Linked DNA regions of Mytilus edulis. The protein of the gene in region 1 purifies or fractionates together with the protein of each later gene. This does not show direct contact. Links are inferred from orthologs where the notes say so. Each region holds a gene or a part of one and is shown on either strand. Other genes may lie near its edges.

Region 1 (8,583 bases):
GTACACGCTTAGCCGTTTGCATCCTTTGTGTTAGAAAGAAATATACTCTTGATCTGTTTTTTGTGGTAATAACATTTTCATAACATTTTGTTGAGGCAAACCAAGGTTAGAGAATGGAAACCAACTTTAGGATGTACGGACGGACAAAGGGTATAACTTAATGTTCCCTCAGCTACTACAGCGGGGGCAGTAAAAACATGATATACAATGTATGTCTCATTTGTCCTCAATAAAATCTGACTGCCACAAAATAGCACAACCTCATTTGTCCTCTACTAAAATGCATGAAATTATCTGATACTGGATTTAAAAATTAACTGACTAACAACATATGAAGGGTTTCTATTTGACAATGATAACATACATGTACAAAATGTATAACCCCACCGCATATTTGTGCCTGTCCCAAGTCTGGAGCCTCTGGCTTTTGTTAGTCTTGTATTATTTTTAACTTTAGTTTCTTGTGTATAATCTGGAGTTTAGTATGGCGTTCATTATCACTGAACTAGTATATACATTTATTTAGGGGCCAGCTGAAGGACACCTCTGGGTGTGGGAATTTCTCGTTGCATTGAAGACCTATTTTTGACCTTGTGCTGTAGTCTGTTATATGGTCCGGTTGTTGTCTCTTTGACACATTTCTATTCTCAATTTTATGTATATAAACTGTATAACAAACCTCTAGCCCTGTTACATCTCCTATATGAGAGGCCTCACAAATAGGTATTGGGTCATTATCAACATCCCCTTCTGTTCCCCTGCCATCTCCATCATCAAATTTCTTTTCTCTATTAACTTTCCATAAACATACTTTATTTTCCTGCAAAAGAAAAGATTTAAATTTAACATACTTCAATCACCCTAATTTTGTCCAAAACAAATCATAAATAACTTTCTGTGTTAAGCTAATATGTATCCTGCTTTGTGAAAATATGCACTGTATTTTTTTCCCTTAAATAAGCTCAACCTGAAAGGCCTCTATATTGTACATTATCATTTTTTCTAACTTTTGGGTTGTATTTGATGGAATGGCGTTGGCACACTTGCTCCTGTAGAAGGCAATATTAATTTAGTTAAATACCAAGAAATACTTGATGAACATTAGAGGCTTATTAGCTCAGCAATTTTGGGTAGGTCATCCTTTTTTCCAAGATGACAATGCTCCTGTCCATCATTGCACAGTACACCCACAAATTTGTAGCTTAGAACGGAATACATTGTTAGCTGGCCTGCACAGTCATCAGACTTAATTTGTGCCCTTGAATGTGATAGAAAACATTTGGTTATACAATGTACATTGTATATAAAAAGAAAACTTCAAACACGTACTGGGATGATTAAATCTACAAAATGAAATGTTCGAAAAAATTTATCGTATTTGCATGATTAGGGTCAATATTACGCCCTTCGATATTCATTGCTTAATAAATACAATTCCGAAAAGGATATTAAATGTAATCAAGCTCAAAGGACATCTAACAAAGTATTAAAGTAAGTTTTATAAATTTGTTGCATATTTTTATTGCATGCTACATGTACGTGTATGTACAAATGTATGTGAGATTCAACTTTGTATTACAGGTTGTCAAATTAAACAGTTTTTATGTTATTTATATGTTTTTATATTTGGTCAAAAGCTCCTTAGAGCTTGTTTTGTATATTTGTACTTATGCAGAAATCAAAATAAAATTTTCTTACATGTACATGTATCTTAATTTTCTATTTTTTTGTATTTCACTGGTTGATTTATTTACAGCGCAAGCTTGAACTTTGCAACACTCATTTTCAAAGTAAACATGCCGCCATCATGGCCATTGTGACTTTTTGCATTTCTCTGTAGGTGAAAATCCATTATTCAAATTTATTCTGTTCACAAATTTCCCTCTGAGGAAAACTAGGCTTATGCATGAAATTAAAACATTTTTTAACCTCTAAGTTGAAACAAGAGCTATCCTGGAACTATCTTCTATAAATGTAGCATCAATAGAACACTTTCGAGTTTGTCCGTCACCAGATAATCTCATCAATAGTGCACGCCTTTATGTCAGACGTCATTTACCAGATAGAGGGGATCGCATGCATCCCTGCACTATAAATGCTCATCAAGTGTCTAAGTTGTCGTCATTGTGGAGGATAAACTAGAAATAATATTTTTGCACTTAATCACAATTCTGGTGCCAGCTCCACCAGCGGACTATTTTGTCATACCAGCACGACCCTAGCGAACGATCAAAGCCAAAACATATTCAGACTGTGAAACTGACAATATCATCGAACGTCAAGGTCATCAATAACACCAGAGGACTTAAAGTACCAAATATAAACAAACCACAGAATAAACATTCATTTTTTATGGAAACAACTATTCACTGTAACCAACTACCAGATAAAGTTGTGCATGCAGGTTCTGTAGAGGCATTTAAGACCACTCTACAAGAACACCGCCCATAACAACGGCGCTTTTCTCCACCGTGTATAAAAGCCTAAACAGGATTCTACACATACATGTACCACTATAGATACAGACAGAATTCCCTAATGACAGCAGTGCTGAAAGACAATAGACGTATTTACACTTTGTATGCAAATTTGTCCGCCATTACGTAAAATCACACAGGTTCCTGTAAACTTTGACATCATAATTTAAAATATTTGACGTCACAATTTAAAGGTGATTGTTGCTTGACGTCAAAAGGTGATTTGGAGTCGATCTAAGGTCATTCTGGGGCAAGATACAGCTAAATACCAAAAGTGTAAATACGTTTATTAAAATGACATGAATGAGAATTTAATTTGCCGAATAATTTGTGCACTTAAGCTTTATAGTTTTCCAACCACTTACTCAACATTTGAACAGAAGTGATGACGCCCCTAAATGCAAGAATGATGTTCATTAAAACCAAAGTTCTTGACGGAAATGAGTCTAAATAGAAAGTTGTCTTAATTTGTCATAACATCACTCATCAGTCATCACTTCTCTTAAAATAACAAGATGCCATAAAATAATCAGTTTGACTTTCTTTTAGTAACCTATTAAATCATTCCTGAATGGATCTTCATTTAAAAGTCATATGCAGTCTATAGCTATAGCTCAAATACATATAATTCGAGAATAACAGGGAAAATGTAGCAAATTGTTAAAGTTTTGTGTTTATATGGTTTATATACTGTAAGAATCATTCAGTTTATGATATATAATGACCTCATCATCCCAGCTTCCTGTGACAAATGTGTCTGGTCCCTCAAGACTATTTTTTATAATGTTTTTCCATCTGATTTTGCTGATTTTCTGTGAAGCAAATGTTGCTCTTATGTCAGCCATTTTCAAAATTTGCACATGGCGGGAACATCCGGAACGATGCCGGATTTTTTCCGGAATTCATTCCAAAATTAAACAAATGTTTACATGTCAAAAAATAGAATTTTGTCATCACAAACTTCAGTTCAATACAGCATTTGAGAGTCAATGAACCTACAACTAAATGTTTCACACGTATAATTCATTAACAGATTTATATGAATGGTAAGATATTTATTTTTGTTTCTTCCTATAAACTGATCATGTCATATAATATTTTGGAAATAAGGCTGTGTAGACGTTAATTATTCTGTCTAAACTTTCTTGTACTATAGTCTATACACATCCTTTATGGTTAGCTTGGGAAAAAATATACAAGGGTACGACTCCGAGTTGTAAGTAAGTTTAGATTTGATTTTATTATTTTATGTGCTTATGTCACAGGCGGATTTAGGGGGGGCCAGGGTGCCCGGGCCCCCCCTTTTTGGGAAAAAAATTGGTTGCTTATATAGGGAATCACTGAAGCATGACTGGAGCGGGCCCCCTCTTAGGTCAGTCAGTAGGCCCCCGCTTATGAAAATTTCTGGATCCGCCACTGCTTATGTCATGTATGTGCTTGATGTTTTTTATATCCTGTTCTTATGTAAAGAATTAAGTTGCTTAGCTTTTATAATAGTATTTAATATGGTATACACAAGGCAAACATGGCTGATTGCATATCAACCAAAGTGTCTTTATCACCTCATCGCTATTTGTCCGCCATTACTGGATATCACACAGGTTCCCATAAAATTTTGACATCACAATACAAAATATCTGACGCCACAATGAAAAAGTGATTGTTGTTTGCGTCAAAAGTTCAAGCGAACGGGTCAGCCGGGGTTTAGCGATAAGGTGTATAGGGCCCATATTGAGCATATAAATCTGATCCAATAAAAATCACTGAGTTCATGCAATATCTACACACGTATGGAATACTGGTGGTACATGCTTTTTGTATACATTTGTGGTCATAAATAAATAAATAAATAAGTGGAGAGGGCCAGTACAAAGAGGGATAACTCCATTTGTAACTTTGCTTAACTTAACCCTTGACAACTTATCAAAATTTTATTGGGGCCTCATTGCCCAAGTGGTCTAAGTACAAAAATGTAGTTACTACTGTAATCACTAGCCAGTCAACACTGAGGTTGAAAGCCCCCCCCCCCCCCTTTTTTTTTTCGTGTGGGTGCACTTGACTCCAATCTTAATTGACTAGGATTGTCAGTTTTCTTATCTAAGGTTGGTGGTTTTATGCGGGCACTCCGGCTTCCTCCACCAATAAAAACTGGACCCAACAAAATAGCCTAAAACCTGGGCTTAAAAGTGGTGTTATTACACCAAAAATTATATCAATCAAAACTTTGTCAAAGAATTGTTTTATTAAAAAAATTTAGAGGGGACATTCAAATATGAAATGCTCTTCATCCATCATGTCCATGTCATCTTCAACTTATCCAACATGCATGTTTTAACATAACATTTGTGATCCATCTATAGTTTTTCGCATAATTATCTGTCTCTAATTTTAAGGAGTGTGCAATTATTTTTATCTTGCCTATCTTTAATTTGCTTAATTTCAAATAGTTTAATTACTTAACAAACAAACAAAAATGTTAAAAGAATAATTCAAGAGTTGACCTTTGTCTGATATTAGAGTATTTTCACTTAAATCTTTCACATGTTTTCATTTTCAAGTTATTTATTCTTAACTGTATAAAATAATTACATATTACAACATTTATATTATTTAGGTCAAGATCTTGAAAACCATTTTGTAATATTTTCTAAGTGTAGCTCTTTATCTAAAATATATATGTGTCATACATTGTATAATAAACCATTTAAAATATATATGTGAAATCTCCTTAATTCAGAAATAACGTCAAAATAATACTCGCTTTTCTAATTTCCAATATGATCAGCGAAGAAATATGTGCTATTAAATAATTTGTAGATGTAAATAAATTAAAGAAACAACCAAATATCTGTTCCAATACAAATTCTCAATTTTGAATATTTAGACCATTCTTAGTATTGGACCGGGTCACTTTACATACATGTATATTAAATGAGATAGAAGTTTTATTTTGATTTTTCTTTGTTTTTTAGCCTGATCTCTGATGGAAGAGAATTTCAAGATGTCACGGTCTGATGAGTATGACCCACTCATTGCCAATCAAGGTAATTATTATTTGACACTGTTACACTCAGTCATTAAATTTTCACTCTTTTATATACTCTTTATTTGGAGCGTGTTTGTGTAAGTATATTATTTTAGTGACATATATAAAATTTACAAATTATCAATATACAGTTTAAATTCTCAGGGGAAATAATTTTTATGTCTATCTAATACATGTACCTGTACTTAATTTTTTTTCAATTTCCAATTTTTCTGTTATTCTTTAAGTGGATGCATGCTTTATCATGTTTTTTGTACCACTTTAGGAAAATGTGTGAATTAATACCATGTGAACAGTGGCGGATCCAGAAATTTCATAAGTGGGGGCCCACTGGCTGCCTAAGAGGGGGCCGATTTCGTCAAGCCTCAGTGATTCCCTATATAAGCAACCAAATTTTTTTCTCAAAAGGGGGGGGCCCAGGCCCCCCCCCTGGGCCCCCCCTCCCTTAATCCGCCTCTGGTGTAGCATCATTGTAACTATTAAAGTTAAACAGGTAAAAGTATTCTGTGATCAGGTAAACTTCATTGGTCTAATTCATCTTTTGTCACAATCAAAGTTTTTCATCAAAAACTTGGTCAAGCTGGTAAACTTGGTTTAAATCATTGGTTGTCACTACCAAAGTTTTTCATCAAAAACTTGGTCAAAACTGGTAAACTTGAATTGGTCCAAGTCATTGGTCATTTGTCACTACCAAAGTTTTTCATCAAACTTGGTCAATGGAAAATATGGTAAAATAAAAAACTGAATTGTGTTAGTTTAAATAAAAATAGCATGAGCTTATATTTCTTCAATTTTCAAAGTGTTGAGTCTACCAACAATTTAAGAATGTTATGTGCTCACACAAAATGTACTTCGGTCAATGCTTTTACATCCCATAAATTTACAAAAAGAAGCATTCAATTCTTAAATGCAATTTTTTCTTTTGTGTATGGTATGTTATTATGAGGACATCGTATATATAATGGTCAAATGAAAAACTTTTGTAAAATCTCAAATCTTATTATATTGCAGCAGCAATTTATGTCAACACATAATGATGTTTAAAATTGGCAAAGGGAGATAATTTGGAGTTTTTCAATGTGATAAACATTTTAAAAGTCATCTGGGGCCAAAATGAAATCATGTTTTTGATTGATATTTATTTTTACCATATCATAAAGTAACAACTGATAGTGTAATAAATGCAATTTGCAATAAAAACAAAAAAATAATATTTTTGCTGACATTTTTGTACCTTCCAGCCTCCTTTAGACTCACATTATCATTCATGATTGTCTAATGATGTTGCTAACAGATTATATACATAATACATTCATCTTTATCATACAAATTTAACAATTTATTAGAAATTTTGTAGATTTATATGTAAAAATTGTCACAAATATCAGATTGACATTTTATGAATTATTGACTTCCATATATTGTTGTCATTCTGCCAATAAAATCTTTTCAACTTCTTATGATACAATTCATTTGTTTCCCTAAAGAATATAAAATAATGTAAGCATTTAGACGGCCTTTAATTTACACTTAAATCAGTTATAATAGCAATCAGATTATTTTGATGTTTTTTTTTATATTTACTACTCCAAAATGAAAATTTTGCAGGGATATGAAAACAAATATGACATAATTATATCAGACTGAATTTTATAAAAAAAAACCTGAAACTGTAAACATCTAAATAGCTATTTCTTGTTTCACTGAAAACCTGATAATACTATATTTAGGAGTAAACAATTTAAAGGTTCATGTTTTATATAAAAAATACTTTTACTAGTAATTTCCGTGTATGCTAATGACTTCAATTTATAAAAAAAAATCACGGATGTAGATTTTTTGAGTCAAAATGAGAATGACTATCTCTATTATATGGATTTAAAACCAGAAAAAAACCAGAAAACATCATTCCTTAACATTTTTATAATAGAATATAATCCTAGGTGAAGAAAAGTTCAGGAAAAAAGCATGCTATTAGATTAGGTTAGATAAACAACAAATAACAGATCAGGTACATATATAGCAAGGTAGACTCAACTTAAACAATACCAGCTGGTCAATTTAATCTAAATCACTCAATTGTAATGTCAATTTTATAATCTGGTTAGACAGGTTGAAAAACTAGGTAAAGGTTAAGGACAGCACATACCAGTACATGTATAGTTAGATCACAATAAATGAAATTTAAAACCAGTCAAGCACATCCAATTTATGTGCTGATAGATTTTACACTTTAATATTTTTTAACCACATTAGTTTTATACATCACATTAAGTGTGGAGATAAATATATATGTATTCCTCTTTTGATGATACCTATGACTTAACAGGTAAGTATATATATACATGTATATATATTATGTAAGACTTATTATTTACATTGAAAAGGAAAATCGAAAAGTATCAAAATATATAACAAGGACTCTGTAACTTTTTCATGTTCTATCAATTATTTTTCCAGTTTCATTCTTTGCTTTTCCAGCAATTTCATGAGTCATGAGTGAGGGTCGGTATGGGGGTCCTTGGTTTCAGTGTTTTTTTCTCATTTCATTATAATGTTTCTCTGTTTTTCTTATCTTTTGATCCATTTTTAGGTGGTATTGGCCCATTACTCTATATTATGTTAACCAGATTGTGACCCTTATGAGTATAATTATGAACTGAAGCTAGAAGAAGTCTCGTTTTTATATGATTGTAAAATTTTTGTGGTCGTATATTGCTAGCACGTCGTCATTGTCGTCACCATCGTCCAAAGACACTTGATTTCCAGACAATAACTTTAGTTTAAGTGAATAGAAATCTATGAACCCCAAAATGAAGGTTTGGATTGATTTTGGGGGTTGTGGTCCTAACAGTTTAGGAATTAGGGGCCAAAATAAGCATTTTTCTAGTTTCTAGACAATATTTTATGGAACAGTGTAGGGATCTCTCTGAAATTATACCACAAGGTTCCATACCAGAAACGGATGGTAATGATTGGACTAAGGGGGTATATGGCTCAAACTGTTTAGGAATTAGGGGGGGAAAATATGGAAAAAACAAGGGTTTTACTGGTTAATGG
Region 2 (8,267 bases), on another chromosome or scaffold:
TATTGTTGAGCAAGGACCATTTTCGTAGCCCTGAAAAGTGTGTATAGGTCCTTTACAAAAAGTCTGTGTGTTTAAAGAAATTAAGGAAAATTCATCTAAAACTCTCCGCAATATTTTGCTTCTGTCGTCTTGAACACCACTGACACGTGGTCCTTGAACTTTCGCATTAAAATCACCAGCAAAAATTACTATGCCATTTTGACTATATACGGAATAGAGTTCGTGAAGTAAATCTACATATTCTTTAAACAAATCAATAGGGAGAGAAGCAGCGGGTAAGTATACACAGAAGAAGAAAATAGTCACATCATTAGGCCATAATCCTATCTGAATCGACATCAATTTCGTGCACAACATAACGATCGATATTCGATGAGACTAACAGTGCAACACCTTTTCTGTAATTAGAACATTTCTGTGTCGTTGGTAAAAGTTCGTCAACACTTTTAGCATAAATTTTGTATTTGCTATCAATCTGTTGTAGAAAGTGTATATTACATTTACGAAGCCAGTGTTCAGATAATGCGCAAATGTTAATATCGTATTTTTCCAAACAATTAGTTTAATAAGGAACAGCCGACATGACGCCTTTACAGTTCCAACACATTATGTTTATTTTTTCTGACATATCTTTAGATTTTCGTGAGTTGCTTAATCACCATCAGAGTTTCCGTATTGGTCAACTTTGACATTTTCATGTTTCACGTTAAATCCACTTTTCGGAATCCACCGTCTAACTCGAATACCAGTAGGCCAAAAAGCACGATCAAGAACTATGCTGCTGTCATTGCATACCACATTCAGTTGAGCGGAAAACGATGATCCATATCGGCTATTAAAAAATCTCAGAAACATGTAACGTATGCCGTTTTCTTCTAAAAACGATTTCATGCCATGTTCAGTTGATTCTAAGCTGATTCCACTTACAAAATAACGATCGACTCGATTTTTTCGACTACCTTGAAAATATGGATTTTCTCGAATTGATACCATATTGGCGTCATTAGCAACATGTACTGGTATTTTATGAAGTATGGGGTCTTTTTGTAATTGTCCCGTTGTTTCAGTTTTACTTTTGTTGAGGATTGTTTTAACTTGTTTCGACTGAGGCATATCATTCGAGTTTAAAGTTTTACGACCAGCATTTGAAGCTGAATAACTATTTTCAACATGAAGTAAGCTTGCTGAGTGTACAGGTGCACGAAGCGGGCCTTGTGATATCGGTACATGAACTAAATTTTCGGTTGATTGATTTGAATTGCTATTCACACTATTGGTGCTTAAGACCTCAGGGGTTTGGCGGACACATTCACAGTCAATGTTTTGTTCACGTAGGTTGGCTTTTATGACATCTGCAAAAGTTTTCTCATCACGAGATTTCAGATTTTTCTCTACGTTATTTACTTTTTTCCTAAGATGTTTCGAGATGTTCATATGCCGGATCATTATCTTTAAGCTTTTCATTTATAAGTTCAACTTTCGCTTTAAGTGCGTAAACACCGGTCATTCTTCGATCTGTTATAGTATTGATACGCAACGAATCGTTCCGTACATCCTGGCGTAAGTCTTTGATCGAGGCTTTCATTTGCGTTATGTCCTTGACATGCTGTTGCTGTCCTTTTAATTTTTCCAATAGCTGCGATAATAATTCTTAAATGATATAGGATACTGCATCTAATTTGTCATTGATATAATTACAAGGTGAATTCCAGTAACTCAAGTTCACGGGGACTTAGTTTCTTAGAAGATGTAGTATGATAATGTATTTTAAATTTTAATTTAAAGTATAACATTTACATAATTATATTTCAATCTTGTTCCCGCTTGGTAAAACACTTGAGTGTTCTCATTAAAGTATCTAATTTCAATTTTACCGAGAATCATAAAAAAAACAGTTCATTAATTTTTTTCTGAAACCAAAATAGCTAGTAAATAATGTCAGTAACTGCTAGTAGTCCTTTGTTAATTTATATATTATTGTCATTTTGTTCAGTTTCTTTTGTTCCCTATACTGATATCGGACTCGGACTTCTCTTAAACTGAGTTTTAGCTATGCGTATTGTTGTGCGTTTGTTTTTTTCTACATTGGCTAGAGGTATAAGGTTGGGGGGGGGGGGGGATGAGATCTCATAAACATGTTTAACCCCGCCGCATTTTTCTGGTGTATACTCGGAGTTTAGTAACATTTGTTTATGGGCCAGTTGAAGGACTCCTCCGGGTGCGGGAGTTTCTCGCTACATCGAATACCCATTGGTGGCCTGTTGTCTGTTCTATGATTGGGTTGTTGTCTCTTTGACTCATTCTCCATTTCCATTCTCAATCTTATTATTGCTTCATAAAGTAATGTAATGTTTATAATTGAAACGCTGTAATCACCCCTTTTGTAGTAATGTTTTTTCCTCAGCCAACATTAATTGTCGCTTTCTATAATATTAGTTAAGATGGGATAAATTTCGGATACAAAGTTGATAAATGGTTATACTGGCTTGCATCGGGATTGTCAATAATATCAACCGAGTCTGAGTCTAAAGTTATGATGAAACTATAATAACGTTTATATCGTTATAATATCATTGACATGAACTGAAAGCATTTTCAAACGAGTCTAAGTAAAAGTAATGCAGTAAAGCTGTAAAAAATCATTCGAAAAACTCAGATAACAGCTAGGCTTATTATTTTGTATAAGTTTTGTCTATTGATTGAAGCTAGAATTAAAATATGTACGAATTAAGTTGGAAGTTGGATCTTGCATTGAATTAACCCCCCCCCCCCCTCTACTATGGTCCATCAGGCTATTCTTCAAATAGAAAAAGGAATTCTCGCCGCCACTTCTTCTTCTTCTTCTGTTTGTATTGCCTTCCTTTAAGGAACACCAAGAATATCTTGTCATGAATGTTATTTACACTATCTACATATCTCCAATTCTCCTCACAGAATGTTTTATATATACACAAGCATACACGACCCACTTTTCCACTTTTATCAATTAATTTTTTTTTTCAAAATCAAAAAAAGTTATTTAAATTGTCTTTGGTGGAATTTTATATGGTTAATTTTAAATTTTAAAAGACTACATTGCCAATATCTCCAGCAATCAGATTTATAAGGTCACTGTTCATTTACATGTATCACTACCACATTGTTTATTGGGCACTTTTGCTGACTTTTCTAGCAGTTTCAGTCTCATTAAATATAGTTGATGACATAACACACTTGATAACTTTGTAATAGCATTTTGTTGATCCACACTAAAATATTTGCTAAAATTTGTACAGTCTAAAATTAGCAGAAGAATCGCATCTTTGTTTCCAAATAGCTCGGACCACTTGCTTTCACCAATCACATTGATAACCTCTATTTTGAGACGGTTATAATATATTTGTCTAGTTGAAAATAAGGCGGGACAATCAAGAATGATGTGCATTAGATCTTCGGAATATATTGTGCACAGTTTACAAATCTGATCTGAATGTTCTATGTTGTACTTGTGTTTGATAACTTGTGTCATAAATGTTCCAGTAAGCATTCTGGCTTTTGTAATGCCCATTTTAACCTCAGATACCATAGAACGCAACGATTTCCATATTATATGGGGCTTTCCAACAGCCAAATCTTTTGTATTGATATATTTCAGAGTTGATTTTTTGACAGACTCAGCTACTAATATATTAGTCCATGTTTTCTGGATTGCACTTTTACATTGATGTTTGAACGCTAATTTTGAAGGTTGTTCTGCCATTAGAGTATAAATTTTCGGCAACTTGTACTGTTCAAGAATATCCTGTATTCGACCAAAAAAGCTTTCTTGATTTTCACCGTTTACAGCCAATTGTCTCATCATGAGGTTCTTCAGAGTAGAGTTATTACAGGAGATAATGTTATATAGAAGGCTTAAGTGTCTTTTATGCAACTCTGCCTCTACAGGTAATGCACCAAGTAATAAGTAAACTATTTCTGTTGCTGTACGTGTCGGCAATGATTGGAATCGACGTAAATTTGAAATATGAAATTTCCTTAAAATGTCTATTTGTGATTTGTTCAGTGGCAACACTTCTAACCCAAACAGAAGCTTTGGCAGTATGTAAGACTGATATATTTTGTAGGCAACGATGGGATTGATTCCATTAGAGCCATGTAGTCCTGTGCTAATCAATGCATACATAGTCCTCCTTGCTAGACTAATACGATCCTCTAAATTCAGATTATTTTCTTTAAGCTCAGATCTAAGAATTCCCAAATGCACAGTTTGATTGGATGGCGAAATATCAGAGTCACCAAGTTTCCAAGATAATGTAGACTTAATACTGTTTGATTTACTAAAAACCACTGCTTTGGTCTTTTTGGGGTGAATTGAAACTCTGTCTTGCACAGCATGTCTATGTAAGGTTGATAACATACATTGTAGTTCGTTTGGATTTGAGGACAAGAGAGCGATATCGTCCGCACATGTAGGACATCCCAGATAAACATTGCCCATCCTGAAACCTAGTCTTGTTTCCTGTAATTCCATCAGTAAATTGTTGTTATAAATTTTATACAGTAATGGAGACAAAATGCCACCTTGTCTCACTCCCTGTAGTATATTAAATTTCGGACTTATTGCACCGGCCCATCTGACTTTTGAGGTCATACCATCATATAGATCTCTAACGATTGTCCAAATTTTAGGGTGGACACCTATTTCATACAACTTATCCAACACAATTACATGGCTGACAACATCAAACGCTTTCATACTATCAACAGTGATGAGACATAATGGAATTAATGGTGTAAGTTTGCTCTCACTGCTCGACAGACTCAATGCATATATCCTAAGATGAACACTTTACACTACATTTTTTTTGTCAAACCGCTCACATCATTGTTATAATCATTTTAATAACTATAAAAAATGAAATAATCATAGAAATTATATTTGAATTTCTTTTAATGTTCACTAGAATATATAAGGGGTGAATGGAAAACTTGAAAATGTTAATGTAGATCTATATTATTTTGATTGGGAAGGAACGTAAGCGACATAAATCCGTTTGCCGCAAAAAATAAAGTTTCATATGGTTGTATATATAAAACCATTAAAATGTTCACACCAAGAGGAATGACAACAAGATCAAGAGAATCTCCATTTTCACAGACAAAACAGAGTGGACGTGCTCAAAATAAAAGAGTTTCAAACTTGTTTACGCCAAAAGGGAAAGGCTCATCATCCTTTTCAAAGTACGAGTTTGATTTGTATGATTATTAGAAGTTTGTGTTTTTTTTGCATGAAATTAAAAAGTAATTATTTAACTACATCAACCAGTTGATACGCAAGTATCTGCATTAAATGTTTACCATACATCTCCTTAATCATGTTATAAATTATACTTGACTTACTTGGGAACATAACGATATGTATACACCTTATCGCTAATCCCAGCTGACCCAGACGCTTGAACTACTGATGCATACAACTATCATTTTTCCATTGTGGCGTCAGATATTTTGTTTTATGACGTCAAAATTTTACGGGAACCTGTGTGATATCCAGTAATGGCAGACAAATAGCGATAAGGTGTATTGACCAGTTGTTGATGGGACTTGCCACTACCTAATTATAGCAGATTTCATAGTCTGGTCATAGTTAATAAATTACACGATTTGGAAATGCACATGTTTAAACCAGTACTCACTATTATCTTAATAATTTCTAATAATACATACCTGCCAACTTTTTGAAATGCCCATGGGGGTTTTACATGCAAGATGGCTCTTGTAGTCCTACAAAACCATCAAGGGGGCCTTCAAAGGTATTTTAATGTTGTTTTTTGGCTTCTTCATACTTATACAAGCCTATAGCCATTGTAAAATTAAATGTTTTATTTTAAATTTTGGACAAAATTGCTCATTCAAAATCTCCATGGGGGAAAACCCCGTAAATAGTGACAGTTGGCAGGTATGATAATATTGATATATGTCATTTAGAATCCATGACAAGTCGCCCCACTGGCAAGTCGCCCCACACCTAATCGCCCCACTTTTTCACCAACTCGCCCCATTTAAAAAAAAAACGCCCCAACCTGGATTACCAAATCGCCCCACTTTTTTAATGTGTTAAATCCCGTTAATATTACTCCTGAAAACTCGCTCCACTGAATGGAAAAAGATAAAATCTAGATTAATATATTATTAACCAGGATGAATTTAGTAAAGCCAACTCGCCCCACTTATGGAAAAAGATGTTATTCCGTGAATATTACTCCTGCCAACTCGCCCCACTTAAAAGAAAACGATAACATCTAGATTTATATTATATTATTAACCAGGATGAATTTAGTAAAGCCAACTCGCCCCACTTATGGAAAAAGATGTTATCCCGTTGTATATAAGTTAAATTCTGTGAATATTACTCCTGCCAACTCGCCCCACTTATGGAAAAAGATGTTATCCCGTTGTATATAAGTTAAATTCCGTGAATATTACTCCTGCCAACTCGTCCCACTTAAGGAAAAAGATGCTATCCCATTGAAAACCTTATAGAAACTTCTTATATTATTCCTTTTTTTTAATATAGCAGTAAGAAGTGAGTATTAATATTTCGGTAACGTGAATGTCAACTAGCCCCACTTATGAATAGTACAAGTATGAATAGAGTTAAAGGCTACCAACTAGCCCCACTTACGAATAAAATAATTAAACTGAAATGTGTGTTGGCTTTCCAATTGGTCCCACTTATGGGAATGTTTGAAATGCTTCCTTTTTTTTTTTTTCTTTTCTAATCTAAATATTACCGTTTTCCATTAAGTGGGGCAAGTTGGCCGGGGTAATATTAAACATGATTTAACCAACTTCACATGTGGGGCGATTTTTTAAAAAGTGGGGCGATTTGGTAATCCAGGTTTCGGCGTTTTTTTTTAAGTGGGGCGAGTTGGTGAAAAAGTGGGGCGATTAGGTGTGGGGCGACTTGCCAGTGGGGCGACTTGTCCTGCTTCCGTCATTTACACATATTGAGGGATTCCATTGTATCTAACTTGTAATTTGTCACTTCAAATTTCTCATAATCACATTCATTTCATCAAAGAAGGGTACAAAATGCCAAAGGGGTAATAAAAATGGTACCGATAGCATTTTCAGTAACAACAAATTTCACTAACCATAATAAAGCACTTCATGTAAAACAAAAACCAACACTTATGTTGGTATTTTTATATGACAAAATATATCTACTGAAATATAAAACTTATATTGTTGAATGTTTTCAATATGTTGGTGATTTATTGAGCAATCTCGATGGTTTTGCAGTCAGCATGGTCAGACGATTCCAAAATCTTGCGTAGTCTTTTAAAGTTCGGGATTTTATCTGACAATTTAATCCTGATAAACCTATTAGAATAAATTCATTTCCTGTAAGATATACTGTTCCCAGACTAACTCAAAGACATATATGGTATATATAAGATAAAGGTGAAGGTTGTACCTATCAAAATGTTTAAACCTGACCACTGCTTTTGTTTGCACCTGTCCTAAGTCAGGAACCTGATGTTCAATAGTTGTCATTTGTTGATGTGGTTCAGAAGTGTTTCTAATTTTTTATACGACTGCAAAAATTAAAAATTATAACCTCTAAAGGAAGGTTGGGATTGATTTTGGGGGTTTTGGTCCCAACAGTTAAGGAATAAGGGGCACAAATAACCATTTTTCTTGGTTTTCACACAATAACTTTAGTATAAGTGAATAGAAATCTATGAAATTTAAACAGAAGGATTATGACCACAAAAGGAAGGTTTGGATTGATTTCGGAATTTTGGTCCCAACAGTTAAGAATTAGGGTCCAAAAGGGTCCAAAATTAAACTTTGTTTGATTTCATTAAAAATTAAATTATTGGGGTTCTTTGATATGCGGAAACTAGCTGTGTATTCAGATTTCTAATTTTGGTCCCGTTTTCAAATTGGTCTGTATTAAGGTCAAAAGGGTTCAAAATTAAATTAAAAAATTAGATTTTGGATTTGGGAACATAATAGGTAAATATCCAATTTAAATTTTTAAAATTCCTACACCACATTCATTCTATGTCAGAAACCTATTCTGTGTCACCTATTTAATCACAATCCAAATTCAGAGTTATATCAAGCTTGAATGTTGTGTCCATACTTGCCCCAACTGTTCAGGGTTCAACCTTTGTGGTAGTATCAAGCTGCACCTGCGGAGCATCTGGTTATATACATGTACTACTAAGATTAGACCATTGGTTTTCCCCTTTGAATGGTTTTACACTAGTCATTTT

What was found.
Region 2: the proteins of nucleoporin Nup43-like (region 1) and nuclear pore complex protein Nup133-like purify together in Homo sapiens (affinity purification with mass spectrometry; 5 studies listed by BioGRID and IntAct, counting the BioPlex papers as one, with this or other methods). This does not show direct contact. The link is inferred for Mytilus edulis from reciprocal best matches to the Homo sapiens genes NUP43 and NUP133.

Annotation. Positions count from the first base shown.
Region 1 is NC_092353.1:66,795,156-66,803,738, reverse strand, and holds the start of nucleoporin Nup43-like, read right to left. Parts: upstream 3,364-8,583; 5' UTR 3,323-3,363; coding exon 3,203-3,322; intron 821-3,202; coding exon 680-820; intron 1-679. Other genes in the region: synaptic vesicle glycoprotein 2C-like, read left to right, coding at 5,461-5,521. UniProt on the Homo sapiens protein: Component of the Nup107-160 subcomplex of the nuclear pore complex (NPC). The Nup107-160 subcomplex is required for the assembly of a functional NPC.
Region 2 is NC_092346.1:60,727,676-60,735,942, reverse strand, and holds the start of nuclear pore complex protein Nup133-like, read left to right. Parts: upstream 1-4,986; 5' UTR 4,987-5,083; coding exon 5,084-5,220; intron 5,221-8,267. Other genes in the region: uncharacterized protein, read right to left, coding at 3,116-4,735. UniProt on the Homo sapiens protein: Involved in poly(A)+ RNA transport. Involved in nephrogenesis.